3 linked regions of the Sus scrofa genome follow. The protein of the gene in region 2 purifies or fractionates together with the protein of the main gene of each other region. This does not show direct contact. Links are inferred from orthologs where the notes say so. Each region holds a gene or a part of one and is shown on either strand. Other genes may lie near its edges.

Region 1 (3,745 bases), on a different chromosome or scaffold from region 2:
CCCTTCTCGCCTCCCCTCTCTCCACCCGTGCAGACACAGGCCTCAAGTCCTTCACTTCAAGCAAGAATCAAAGCAGCAAGGGCTTGTTACTAGTTATAGCTTCAAAGACCATCTATCCCTTTCTCTTATTTCACAGAGGAAGGGACCTCTGAGAGCAGACGTGACTTGCCTGAGGTCAAAAAACAGTCACGTAGCTGGGATTAGAGCCCAGGTTTTCTGATTCTGGGCTAACTAGCCTAAGGTCCCTTCCATTAACTATGACTGCAAGCTTTAATGAGGCTTGGGGTGTTCCAGAAGTGAAACCTGCGCCCCCCCCCCACACACACACATTGTGCTTCTGGGTGGTAGTTTCACATGTGGGAACAGGGTGAAAGGTTGATGGTCAGGAAAGGCCTGGAGATCAGAAGAGCCTCTCTGCCCCCGGACTCCTTTTCCCAGCTCCACTGATCTGCAGCCTCCAGGTTCGGCTTAATGAGAGGACAGCAGGCACCAAGAGAACAGGCACCCACTGCCCTACCTCACCAAGGGTGGCCTGCATCAGAAAAAAAAATGTCCTCATTTATCTAGGAGAAAGGGCTCTTTTAAGTAGAGAGGCCAGGGCCAGAAATAAAATTATAAGGAAGTAGTTGGGCTCACAGCATTTGCCGGGCAGCCTCTGCTAAGGGCCTGCTGTTGGCAGACATGGTGCACACACCACAGTCAGCGCCCATGCCCGAGGCAGGTTCTCCTAGCTGCCTGCTGCTCTTGCCCAAGGGCTGGGCCTTTGGGATGCTACCACAGCATAGCCAGAGCCAAATATGCAGCTCAGTCTGCTGTTCACTGAGCAGCCTCCCCTAAGGGGTGAGGATCATTTGCAGAGGGGGCAGGGACTGAATCTGCTTTCACTGAGGTTCTAATGGCCACAATGATCTAGTGATCATTTCTGAATCACTTTCCTTGTTTGATTCCCTGCTGGTATCTTACATATCTTTGCCACTCTTTCCACACTTGGCTTCCAAAACCCACTGTGCCTTTTTTGTTTGTTTGTTTTTAGGGCTGCACCCGCAGCATATGGAGGTTCCCAGGCTAGGGGTCCAAGCAGAGCTACAGCTGCCGGCCTACGTCACAGCCACAGCAATGCCAGATCCGAGCCACATCTGCAAGCTACACCACAGCTCACAGCAATGCCGGATCCTTAACCCACCCATTGAGCGAGGCCAGGGATCGAACCCGAGTCCTCATGGATACTAGTCAGGTTTGTTACCACTGAGCCACCAATAACTCTTTCCTTGATTTTTAACACCGCTAATGAGCCAATAGTTTCTAAATGTATATCTCTAGATTTAGCTTGCCAAGTGAAATTCCTATTTCCTCAAATCTACCCATCCTGTGTATCCACTGTTACTTGATAAGCCACTAATCCAGTCTCTATGCTAGAGACCTGAGAAATATCCATGAACCCCCTGTCCTCCAGCTCCCAGTCCTACTGATTCTACCTCTGAAACCTCTCTCCATTGTACCCTTTCCTCCGCAGTCACATGACCGGGGCCTTGGAAGTACAGCATATTATGATTAAGAACTCAAGCTTGGAACTGGATTATCTGAGAGTTTGAATTGTAGCTCTACCGATTTTTAGCTGTTTGACGTTTCTAAGCCCCAGTTTCCTCCTTGCTCTTGCCCATGCTGTTTCCACTGACTAAGATCCCTCCCTCCTTCAATCGGATGAATTCTTGTTAACTTTTCAACCCAGATCAGCTGTCACCTCCACTAGGAAGTCTTCCTGTCTTTCACTGCTCTTAATCACGGCAATAATTTCCCTCTGTGTATCACTGACCTCTAAATTATTTGACTATATGTTTATCGCTCATTACAGAACCACAAGCTTCTTTAAGGCATTGATTGTGCTTATTTATCTCTCCATTGGCAACACCCAGTTCAGTGCATAGCAATAAGTAGGTCCTCAGGTTACCTGCACCAAAGAATACTACAGGAAGCCGAGAGGGGTTAATGGGAATATTAGGAGGAAACGATAGAGGCAGGGGCAGGGGCTAATTGAAGTAAGACAGTTTAGCAGCGAAGAGAAACAGCAACCAAAGTACGGCAGGATGGGGAGAGACCCTCCCAGCCTCGGGCGGCACCCTTTCCCTCACCTGGCAGCACACCTCCGCAGCCTGGAACTACAAATCCCAGGAGCCCCGGCGGCGCAGACCGGAAGTGTCCTGTTCGCCTGTGGCTACGGTGAGGGGCGGTGGCCCGGCGGCGGGAGATTCAAACCTGGAAGAAGGAACATGGAGGGGAGAGGAGCGGGCCCGGGCCGGGCGGTCTGTGAGTGCCAGAAGGGGCCGAGAAGGGCCCAGCAGTGGTGCTGCTCCTCGGGGACTCGGTGGTCCTGGGAGAGGGTGGGGCGGGGGCGGGGCAGGGGGGCCGTCAGGCCAGGAAAGACCGGACTGTGCTGGGTGGGGTGGGAGCGCTCAGTGCGGACTCGTGCGGGCGGGGGTAAAGCTGTGAGCTGTTTACGAAATGCTCCCACTTCTGTGCCGCACTTCAGAGCTTACAAAGAGCTTTTCCCCTTATCCCCAGATTCTGGGGCTCCATAACTTGCCAAGTGCTACCGAGGAACGGGTCGCCCAACAAGACCTAGGGGCCTTCCTTGACTTTTTGATGCCTCTTTGAGACAATGCCTCTCAAAGCTTTATGGTGTCAGAATTACCTGTGGAGTTAATTTAAAACGCAGATTCCTGAATCTTATCCCAGAGCTTTAGCAACAGTTGGTCTCTACTGGGACCTATAATGTGCATTTATAGCAAGCCCCGCTGCGCTTTTCCGATCACCCCAGGTAACTGTGTGTCTGTGTACCACGCTTTCAAAAGCACTGCTTTAGAAAGAGAGATTGGGGTCGGAAAAATGGGACTGCAGAAAGGTTATCATCTGACCTGAAAGAAAAGCAAAATTGAGCTCTTCTTCTACCCCTTTCCCGTCCTCTCCGTTAGGGTACAAAAAGCAAAGGCCACGTCCACCTATCTGTTGAAGGAAAGCTGGTTCCAGACCTGAAAAGGGCAGGAAAACTGATTTTTTTTTTTTAAGACTCTGTGCGCGCGTGTGTGTGTGTGTGTGTGTGTGTGTGTGTGTGTAAAGTCCTGCCCATCTCTCACAGTGCTCAATTCATAACTCTGAGATGATGTCACTCACTTACTGGTTTATTTTCCATGCTTAGCAACCAACACTTGTTCCTTTACACCCCCTTAAAGGAACCAATGGATTTCCTGCGATTGGCCAGTGCTTTCAAATCTGAACGTGGAGGGTGTGTGTATGTGTGTGTCTTTTAATTTGCTTAACTGCCACTTCAAATAAGCCCTGCCCCTCTCCCAAATCATATTGCAGGATATGTAATACAAAAGAGATAATGAGTGGGAACGACATTTAGTGCTGAGTCAAAGACAGATTTACTAAGCTCTCTTTTTAAGCTCTCTGACTTTATTTTCTTGGTGTATATGTGTAGCTTTCTCTCATTTTTTCTGATTTTGTACTGTCTTCCCTAAGGAGACTAGAGAGATAGGGAAGAAGAGAAGGGAAAAGATAAAAGGAGGCTGTGGCCCCCCAAAAAAATGTTCCTGTCATGGCTCAGTGGTTAACAAACCCTACTAGCATCCATGAGGATTCGGGTTTGATCCCTGGCCTCACTCAGTGGGTTAAGGATCTGGTGTTGCCATGACCTGTGGTGTAGGTCACAGACATGGCTTGGATTCCTCGTTGCTGTGGCTGCGGT
Region 2 (3,745 bases):
TGCTGTGGCTCTGGTGTAGGCTGGCGGTTACAGCTCCAATTAGATCCCTAGCCTGGGAACCTCCACATGCGGTGGGAGCGGCCCAAAAAATGGCAAAAAAAAAAAAAAAAAGACCAAAAAATAAAATAAAATAAAATGAAACATTCGAAACAATAAAAAAAAAGTCCGAAGGGAAATATGACTATTAAAAATATTGTAAATAGATGTCTTTCTTGGCCAAATAACTGTGGCAGTCATCAATAAATGAATTATTGTAGTTCCCCTCGTAGCTCAGAGGAAACTAATCTGAGTAGTATCCATCCATGAGGATGCAGGTTCTATCCCTGGCCTTGCTCAGTGGGCTAAGGATCTGGCGTTGCCTTAAGCTGTGGTGTAAGTTGCAGACAAGGCTTGGATCCCGGGTTGCTATGGCTGTGGTGTAGGCCAGCAGCTACAGCTTCAATTTGACCCCTAGCCTAGGAACCTCCATAGGCCAGGGGTGCAGCCCTAAAAAGAAAAAAATAAAGAACTATTATTTAAGATAAGCTATTTTCCTCTAACACTAGGCACCATCTGAGAAAAGACCGAGAAGGCTCCTATTCTGAAGTGTGCACACTGGCAAGGAAGACGGATGACAAACAGGTGCTGTGAGGATAGGATGATCAGGAAGGCAGTGACATTTGAAGGCAGAGGGCCAACGGAAGGACTGGTGAAGAGGAGGCAGCCAGGGGAAATTGTGAATCTGAGGCCTTGTTGTGGGGAGGAAGTCTCTAAACCAATTGATGACGGATGTCGCTGGAACGAGAGACAGTAGGGTGGAAGCAGTGAAGCGAGCACTCAGCTCTCAAGCCATACGGGCCGGGGGAGTCAGAGGGCCATCCACTTGCATTGTGGTCACAAGTCATGCCCCTTTTCGAGTAGCCGCTGTCTTCTTTGCAAAATCAGGATGATGATACTTTGCAAAAGTGCAAAGATCAAAAGAAATGTTAGTTGTGGTGCTTTGCAAACGACCATTTATAGCATTATTACAAATATATGACAGCCACTGGAGAAACAGTTACAAGCGCAACACACGAAAGAGCAAGCAGGACCGCCTGGCGCGTGCGCGCTAGGCTGCCTGAACCTGGGGAGCGGATGAATTCAAGCCCCGCCCGGAACAGCTCGGCCTCTTTTCGCCTCGGATCCCTCCCACTTCCGCGGGCTCCCAACGCTGCGTCGTCTGCGTGCTGACGTCAGGCGCGTGCCCCTGTCCGCAGCTGAGGAGACCCCGCGCATTGCTGCCAACGCCCCGGCTGAGGAGCTGAGGTGAGTGCGGGGTCCTAGGCTCCCCGCGGGAGCGGGTTCCCCACCGTCCCGTTTCCGCTGCGCCGCGCCCGGCCTTTCCCAGTCCACGGGGACGCCCCGCGTCTGGGTTCCTGGGAAGCTTGGGAGCGCGGGGCGTGGAGTGTGTGTGTGTGTGGGGGGGGGGGGGGTGCCCGGCTCGCGCAGCGCCGTTCGGGCGAACGCGGGTCCGGGTTCTGTCCGAGGACGGAGGCGAGGAAGTCGCGGCGGGCAAGGCGGGGGGCGCACGTCGGCCGAGAGGTGTGCGGCCCTGCTGTGGGGTGCCGGGCCGAGGGCGCGGCCGTGCTGTCACCCGGCAGCGGCGGAAGGAAGGGGTCACACCCATCCCGGCCGCCCGGCTCCCCTCCCCCCGGCCCTGCGGACCCCTGAGGCGGACGGCGGGCCCGGGCGCCGGGAGCTGCGGAGACGCTCGCGGGCGCCCGGGCTGCCCGGGGTGGCGGTGGCCCGGGCTCCCAGGCCGGGTCTGCCCCCGCGCCCCGGCCTCGACTTCCTGCTTCGCCCGGCGCGGCCGCAGACATTTTGCGGCGGGCGGGGGGGAGGGGAGCGGATTGCGAGCGCGGCCGGGAAGTGGCGGCCGGGAGCGGGCGGCTAGCTGACCGCCCCGGGTTTGCCTGCGACGCGCCTCCCTCCGCGGTCCCGCAGCTGGACGCCTGGTCCCACTGGGTGGGCCTGGTCGCCGCTTCTCCGGTCTCCTTTATTCCTGCCTTAGGTCGAGTTCCTGATGCCGTTTCCGTTTGCTTCTCCAACTCTCTCCCTGCGTTTTCAGCTGAAGCTTCCCTTTCAGGGAGTTACCTAACCACCTCCCGAAACTGTCGTTCAGCCTTTTGCCCAGTTCCTCTCATTAGGGGGAAAATTTCTTTGTTCGTTTGTGTTTTTCCTCCCCTTTAATCCCAGAGAAATGCAGTGTGGAAGATTACGTCATCGCAATATAAGGGGTGAGAGTTTTTAACTCCTACAAGTCAGGGACTCACTAAATTAAGACAGCATTTTGTAGCCTTGGTTGGGTCACCCATTGGCCTAGCCAACCTGTTTCCCAACGCATCAGAGATGATCTTTTGAAATCCTGGCCGTCTCATATGCATCTGAAAGCCAGGAGGGTTTAAAATCTCCGGATCAACTTGTGCCAGAGAATAAAACGTAAGACAACACCTTCTGCAGCCGCTTGCGTAGGCAGTAACTTTAAAGATCCCTTTGACTGTACCCGAATGAGATGAATTTATTTGTGGAAGCATTTCTTTGGTCTAAGATGCAATTCACAGACTGTTTAACTTCTCCCATATGAATTACCGATTCGGAATATGTACCTAAGTCAACTCATGTGCACTTTTTGTGGTAAGGGTGTGTGAAAAGAGAATCAGTTCTATTTACGCTTAATCTTTGCTTGGTAGTCAGTTTAATTTTGTAATTAAAAATGTTTTGGATTTTTAACCAAATAAACTTAAGTGAGTAATATTTTCAGACTTGGGATCACAGAATGTTAGGTACATCCTAAATTGTATATCCTTCATTGACTGCAGGGTAGTGTAATACAGAAAAATGTTAGCATTGTAAAGCAAATGAGATCCAGTTGTGTAATGCATTGTTGTAAAGATAGTTCATGTTGGAACAAGCGCTTTCCTATTGTTTCTCGTTTGTATAGAGAGAACAGATTGCTTGTTAAGAAACACTTAAAAGTGGTAGGTTTACATCAGCTTTCTGTAGTGTGTAGGTGTTGGTAGATGATTGGATAGGTGTGGAGCTTGGATCTTCTAAAATATATTTATTTGCCATAATGTATCTTTTTAAGAAGATAAAAATGGAACACTTACCTGCTGCCATATTTCTTGAGTCTTAATTTTTTTAGATTGAGGCAAGGTGATAAGAGACTGGTAATTAACTGTGTATTAAAAATGAGCTCTTCCTCAGTAATTTCTTCCAAGACCCAAAAGATAGCACGTTCTTAAAATGTTTTCACATAATAACAACATCTGTACTCAGTTAAATTTAAATTTTTGGGAATCTGAGGCAGGTGTTACAGCCTAGCTTAAATATCAGCGAGATTCTTAAAGCCCACCAAGCCCACATCTTGACTTTTTTGTGACTTCAAGTTTTTTTTTTTTTTTTTTTTTTTTTAAATTCGGGTACTTTTTCCACTTACGGTTTATTAGAGAAGCATTTCTGGTTGTTTTTAAAATAGTTATACTAATAAAATATTTTGATCTAAGAGGTTGCATTTGGAAAACTTTGAATTACAGTTTGCTGTGCCTGTCTGAAAGTAGTATTTACAGACATTCTTGGAAGTAGAAGTCAAACTATACTTTTATTTTTAAATACATTTTAAGTGCATTTATTGTTTTTGAGAGGACAAGGAATGCTTAATGAACATTTCAGGCTACAGGGCTTTGAAGGGAAAGAAGGTGTTAATATTTTGTTAACTTTTGTTCCA
Region 3 (3,745 bases), on a different chromosome or scaffold from region 2:
TGGGGCCAGAATTCCATCCCTGGCCCCAGTTTTGGCCACAGTGGGGGGGCTTGCCCCTTTGAGATTTCTCTTCTGGAGAAGCTGCCCCTTTACTGTGGGTGCATGTGAACCTCAAGAGAGTTCCCTGAAGATGAGGGGTGCCAGCGCCCAGGACTCGCCTCCCCTGAGCTAGTGGCCATGTATGGTAGGCAGGTTGCTTATGGTCCGCCCGAGAGACCGTGGTGTGTGGAAGTTCCCAGGCCAGGGATCGAACCCGGGCCACGGCTGTCGCCAGAGACATAGCCCTGGCAATGCCAGATCCCTGATCCACTGAGCCGCCAAGAACTCCGAGATTCCCATTTTTTAACTTGGCAGCTGTGAGCTGGGGTTAGGGACTCCTGCTGGGGCTCTGTTGGGTGCCTGGGGTTCCTGCTTTGGCACTGATGTGAGCCTACGGGTCCCCCCAGGGACCTGAGACAATCCTGGGCAGGAGCTGCCACTTCTAGGAAACCCCTGGGTCGGCTCAGCTAAGAGCCGGCAGCAGCTGTCTGCTTGGGCCATGCCACCCTCCGGCCACGCTCCCCCGAACTCACTGTTGTTGGACTTGAGGTCTCGGTGGATGACAGGCACCAGGGCCTCGCAGTGCAGGTAGTGCATTCCACGGGCAATCTGCACAGCCCAGTTGACGAGCACATGGGGGGGCACGCGCCGCCCAGCCAGGGCACGGCTCAGGGGCCCACCGGCAGCATACTCCATCACCAGGCACAGGTTGGGCTCCTCCAGGCACACGGCCTTGAGGGCAATGATGTTGGGGTGTGCCAGCATGGCGAAAAGCCGAGCCTCCTGTCGCACGCTCTCAGCTGTCACGCTGATGTCCTCATCGGGGTCCTGGCGAGCTGCCTTCACGGCCACAAGCTCACCCCGCCAGCTGCCACGGTAGACCTTGCCGAAGCCACCGATGCCAATCACCTCCTCCAGCCGCAGCTCCTGGAAGCTGGCCATCTCGCAGGGGGGGGGACCACCGCCCCGAGACACATAGTTGGACGGAAAGATGCCCACCTGGCCACCTACCTGGCCCGCCCACCAGCCCTCGTCACCCGAGATAGCTGCATCCCGGGACAGCACCTCCACTCGGTCGCCCTTCCGCAGGGCCAACTCGTCCTGCCCATTGGGCTCGTAGTCAAACAGGGCTGTCCACACAGGGTTGGCATAAGCTGCAGCCTTCGGGGACCCCTCTGGCCAACCTCCGCTGCCACTGCCCCCGCTGCCCCCATTGCCACTGCTGTTCCATGACCCCAGGGGGCTCTTGAGGAAGAGGTTCTTCAAGGGCTCCATAGCTGGGAGCTGGCACTGGCGGGTGTGGGGGACCTTCCCTGGGTGCCCCGGTCCCCACCCTTGCTGACGGCCGAGGCCCTAGTCCCGGAACCTGGGCATCCGAGCCCTGGCCCTCAGCCCCAGACCCACGCCTCTCTGGGGAGCCAGGAGTGTCGCCTCCCGGCCCACCGCATCTCGGGCTTCCGGAGGAGGGCGACCTAGGGAAGCAGTGTGGTCAGGCTGGGGGGGTGGACCCCCAGGGCCTCCGATGTCTCACCATGGCCGGCACAGAGGGGCCCGGGCGTCCCTCAGTCCAGAGCAGTCCTGGGAGCCGAGCTCCAGCACCCGCCAAGTGAAAGGTGGGGCCAGCGAGGGGCAGTGCCTGGACTCCCGTTGGGTCTCTGCGCAGGGGGGTGGCTGGAGTGTCTCTAGGTTGAGCTGCCTCTTCCTGGCTCAGCTCTCGCGACCCGATGGCTCCAACCCCGTTCCCTTCTTCCTCCTCCCTTTGTACTTTGGCCCCGGGGGCGGGAGGCAGAGGTGGAGGGTGGAGTTTCACTTTTTTCCGCTGTTCTCTCTCCTGCAGGAAACAGCATCAGATGACGCGGGCGGGTAGCACCGCTCCCCTCCCAGAGGCTGCAGGGCGATTTGGTCTGGGAGTTACCGGGTAGGCGGGCAATGAGAGGCAGAAGGAGAGGAAGTGTAGCCCGTAGCCCCCACCTCCCGTGACAACAGGTTTAAGGTCGAGGTTGGTTTCTGCTAAGGAGGGACCGTCCCCGCCCTCTACGTCTGCATCTGTAAAACTGGGGGAAAGATCCTGGCTTGGAAGAGGGGCAAACCCGAGTGTGGTCTTGGCTCCGAAGTTGCAGGGCCGTGTGACCCTTTCTCTGCGCTTCATTCTCTTCATGTCTGAAACTGGGGCCAGGAGCTCCGCTTTGCAGAGCTGGCAGTGGGGGTAGGCAAGAATGGAGGACGAAACTGGCTGCACTTGGAGCTCTTGGAACGCGTTGTCTAAGATTTACTGCTTCCCTTCACCTGGGAAACAATTCATGCCTCTTTCCCAAGAAGGGATGGAAACCTGAGACTGTGCTCCTGAAATTTGTCCAGTGATGGCACTTGGAATAGCTAAATCGCTCTCGCAACCGCGCGACGGACCCCCTTGCCTTGAGCCTGTCACTTTAAGAAAAACGACACTATCCTATTTCGACTAGTCCTGCCTGTTCTCTCTACACTCTGAGTTTGAGCTCTGACCCGGAAGTAGAGGCCGCTCGTGACGTTTGACGTCCAGCGCTAAAAAGGGCGCACCTAGAGGGGCTTGCTCCAGTAGCGCACAACTGTGGCTTTAGCCCCCAGGGGTGTCCACGCCTCCATCCTTTTCCTCGCCTCTAGTAACTCTTCCCTCGCGTTCCGCCCAGTGATCGCGGCTAGGTTGGCATCGCTTAGGTGTGCGCATGCGCTCAAGGACTTGTGCCTTTTGGATCGTCCCTTCCTCAGCTGCGCAAGCCCAGCGGGCTCTCCCGCTTCTTATCGGTCCACCACCTCCCTGCGCTTGCGCATTCGAGCCGAAAGGTTTTCCTTTTCCGGGTCCCAACTGGTCTCGTCGGGCGCATGCGCCACTGCAGGTTGGCGGCTCGCGGCTCCTTCTTCCGGCCTCCCCCTTGGGTCGGCTCCCGCAGAAGCGGGGCGACCGCGGAGCCCAAAGCGAGTGACCTGTGACCCCGGAAGTGGACCTCAGGGTCCCGGGGCTCTCCCCGGGCCGGAACCGTGGGAGCCGTCGTCTGCACCCCCGGAGCACCCACCCCACGCCCACCTCTGGATGCCGCCGACCGGTGCCCGGCCCGTGCCCTGCGCCTGCCCGCCGGTCCGGCCCTTAGGAGCAGTTCTGGGCCGGGGGTGGGGGCCTGGACCCCACCCCTGATGCGGCTCCACCCCGGCTCTTGGGTCTCGCACCACTGACTGCCCTGGCCGGCCCCGCCCCCTGCCCGCACCCTCGCCCCACCGACCCCTCTCCCCCGCTGGGGGAGGCCATGGCGTGAGCGCGAGGTTGGGCCCCGGGGCCCTCGGGCGCCAGGCGGGGCATGGGCCGGGGGCCGCCCCCATGAGGGTCCCGGGAGGGGGGCGCGCGCAGCAGCGGCGGGGCCATGGGGTCGCAGGTGTTGCAGATCCTGCGCCAGGGGGTGTGGGCCTCGCTCACCGGCGGTTGGTTCTTCGACCCACACCAGAGCACCTTCTCCAACTGCTTCCATCTCTATGTCTGGATCTTCCTGCTCACCTTTCCTTTCTTGCTGTATATGGTGAGATGCTGCGGCCACCTGTAACTCGTGCCGGGGAAAGGGAGGGCAGATGTCACGAAGGGGTGCAACCTGGCAGGGATTCTGGGCTGTGGCTGGGGCGCTGGGGTGTGGGAAGAGGATTCACTGCGGAGTCTGGAGTGTGTGGAAGAGAGGCCAGAATT

What was found.
Region 1: the proteins of CDC42 (region 2) and IQGAP3 purify together in Homo sapiens (affinity purification with mass spectrometry; 4 studies listed by BioGRID and IntAct, with this or other methods). This does not show direct contact. The link is inferred for Sus scrofa from reciprocal best matches to the Homo sapiens genes CDC42 and IQGAP3.
Region 3: the proteins of CDC42 (region 2) and MAP3K11 purify together in Homo sapiens (affinity purification with western blotting; 3 studies listed by BioGRID and IntAct, with this or other methods). This does not show direct contact. The link is inferred for Sus scrofa from reciprocal best matches to the Homo sapiens genes CDC42 and MAP3K11.

The regions. Positions count from the first base shown.
Region 1 is NC_010446.5:93,510,995-93,514,739, forward strand, and holds the start of IQGAP3 (ras GTPase-activating-like protein IQGAP3), read left to right. Parts: upstream 1-1,238; 5' UTR 1,239-2,084; coding exon 2,085-2,304; intron 2,305-3,745.
Region 2 is NC_010448.4:80,033,867-80,037,611, forward strand, and holds the start of CDC42 (cell division control protein 42 homolog), read left to right. Parts: upstream 1-1,168; 5' UTR 1,169-1,284; intron 1,285-3,745. UniProt on the Homo sapiens protein: Plasma membrane-associated small GTPase which cycles between an active GTP-bound and an inactive GDP-bound state. In active state binds to a variety of effector proteins to regulate cellular responses. Involved in epithelial cell polarization processes.
Region 3 is NC_010444.4:6,639,101-6,642,845, reverse strand, and holds the start of MAP3K11 (mitogen-activated protein kinase kinase kinase 11), read right to left. Parts: upstream 2,786-3,745; 5' UTR 2,596-2,785; intron 1,871-2,595; 5' UTR 1,315-1,870; coding exon 573-1,314; intron 1-572. Other genes in the region: PCNX3 (pecanex-like protein 3), read left to right, coding at 3,432-3,584. UniProt on the Homo sapiens protein: Activates the JUN N-terminal pathway. Required for serum-stimulated cell proliferation and for mitogen and cytokine activation of MAPK14 (p38), MAPK3 (ERK) and MAPK8 (JNK1) through phosphorylation and activation of MAP2K4/MKK4 and MAP2K7/MKK7.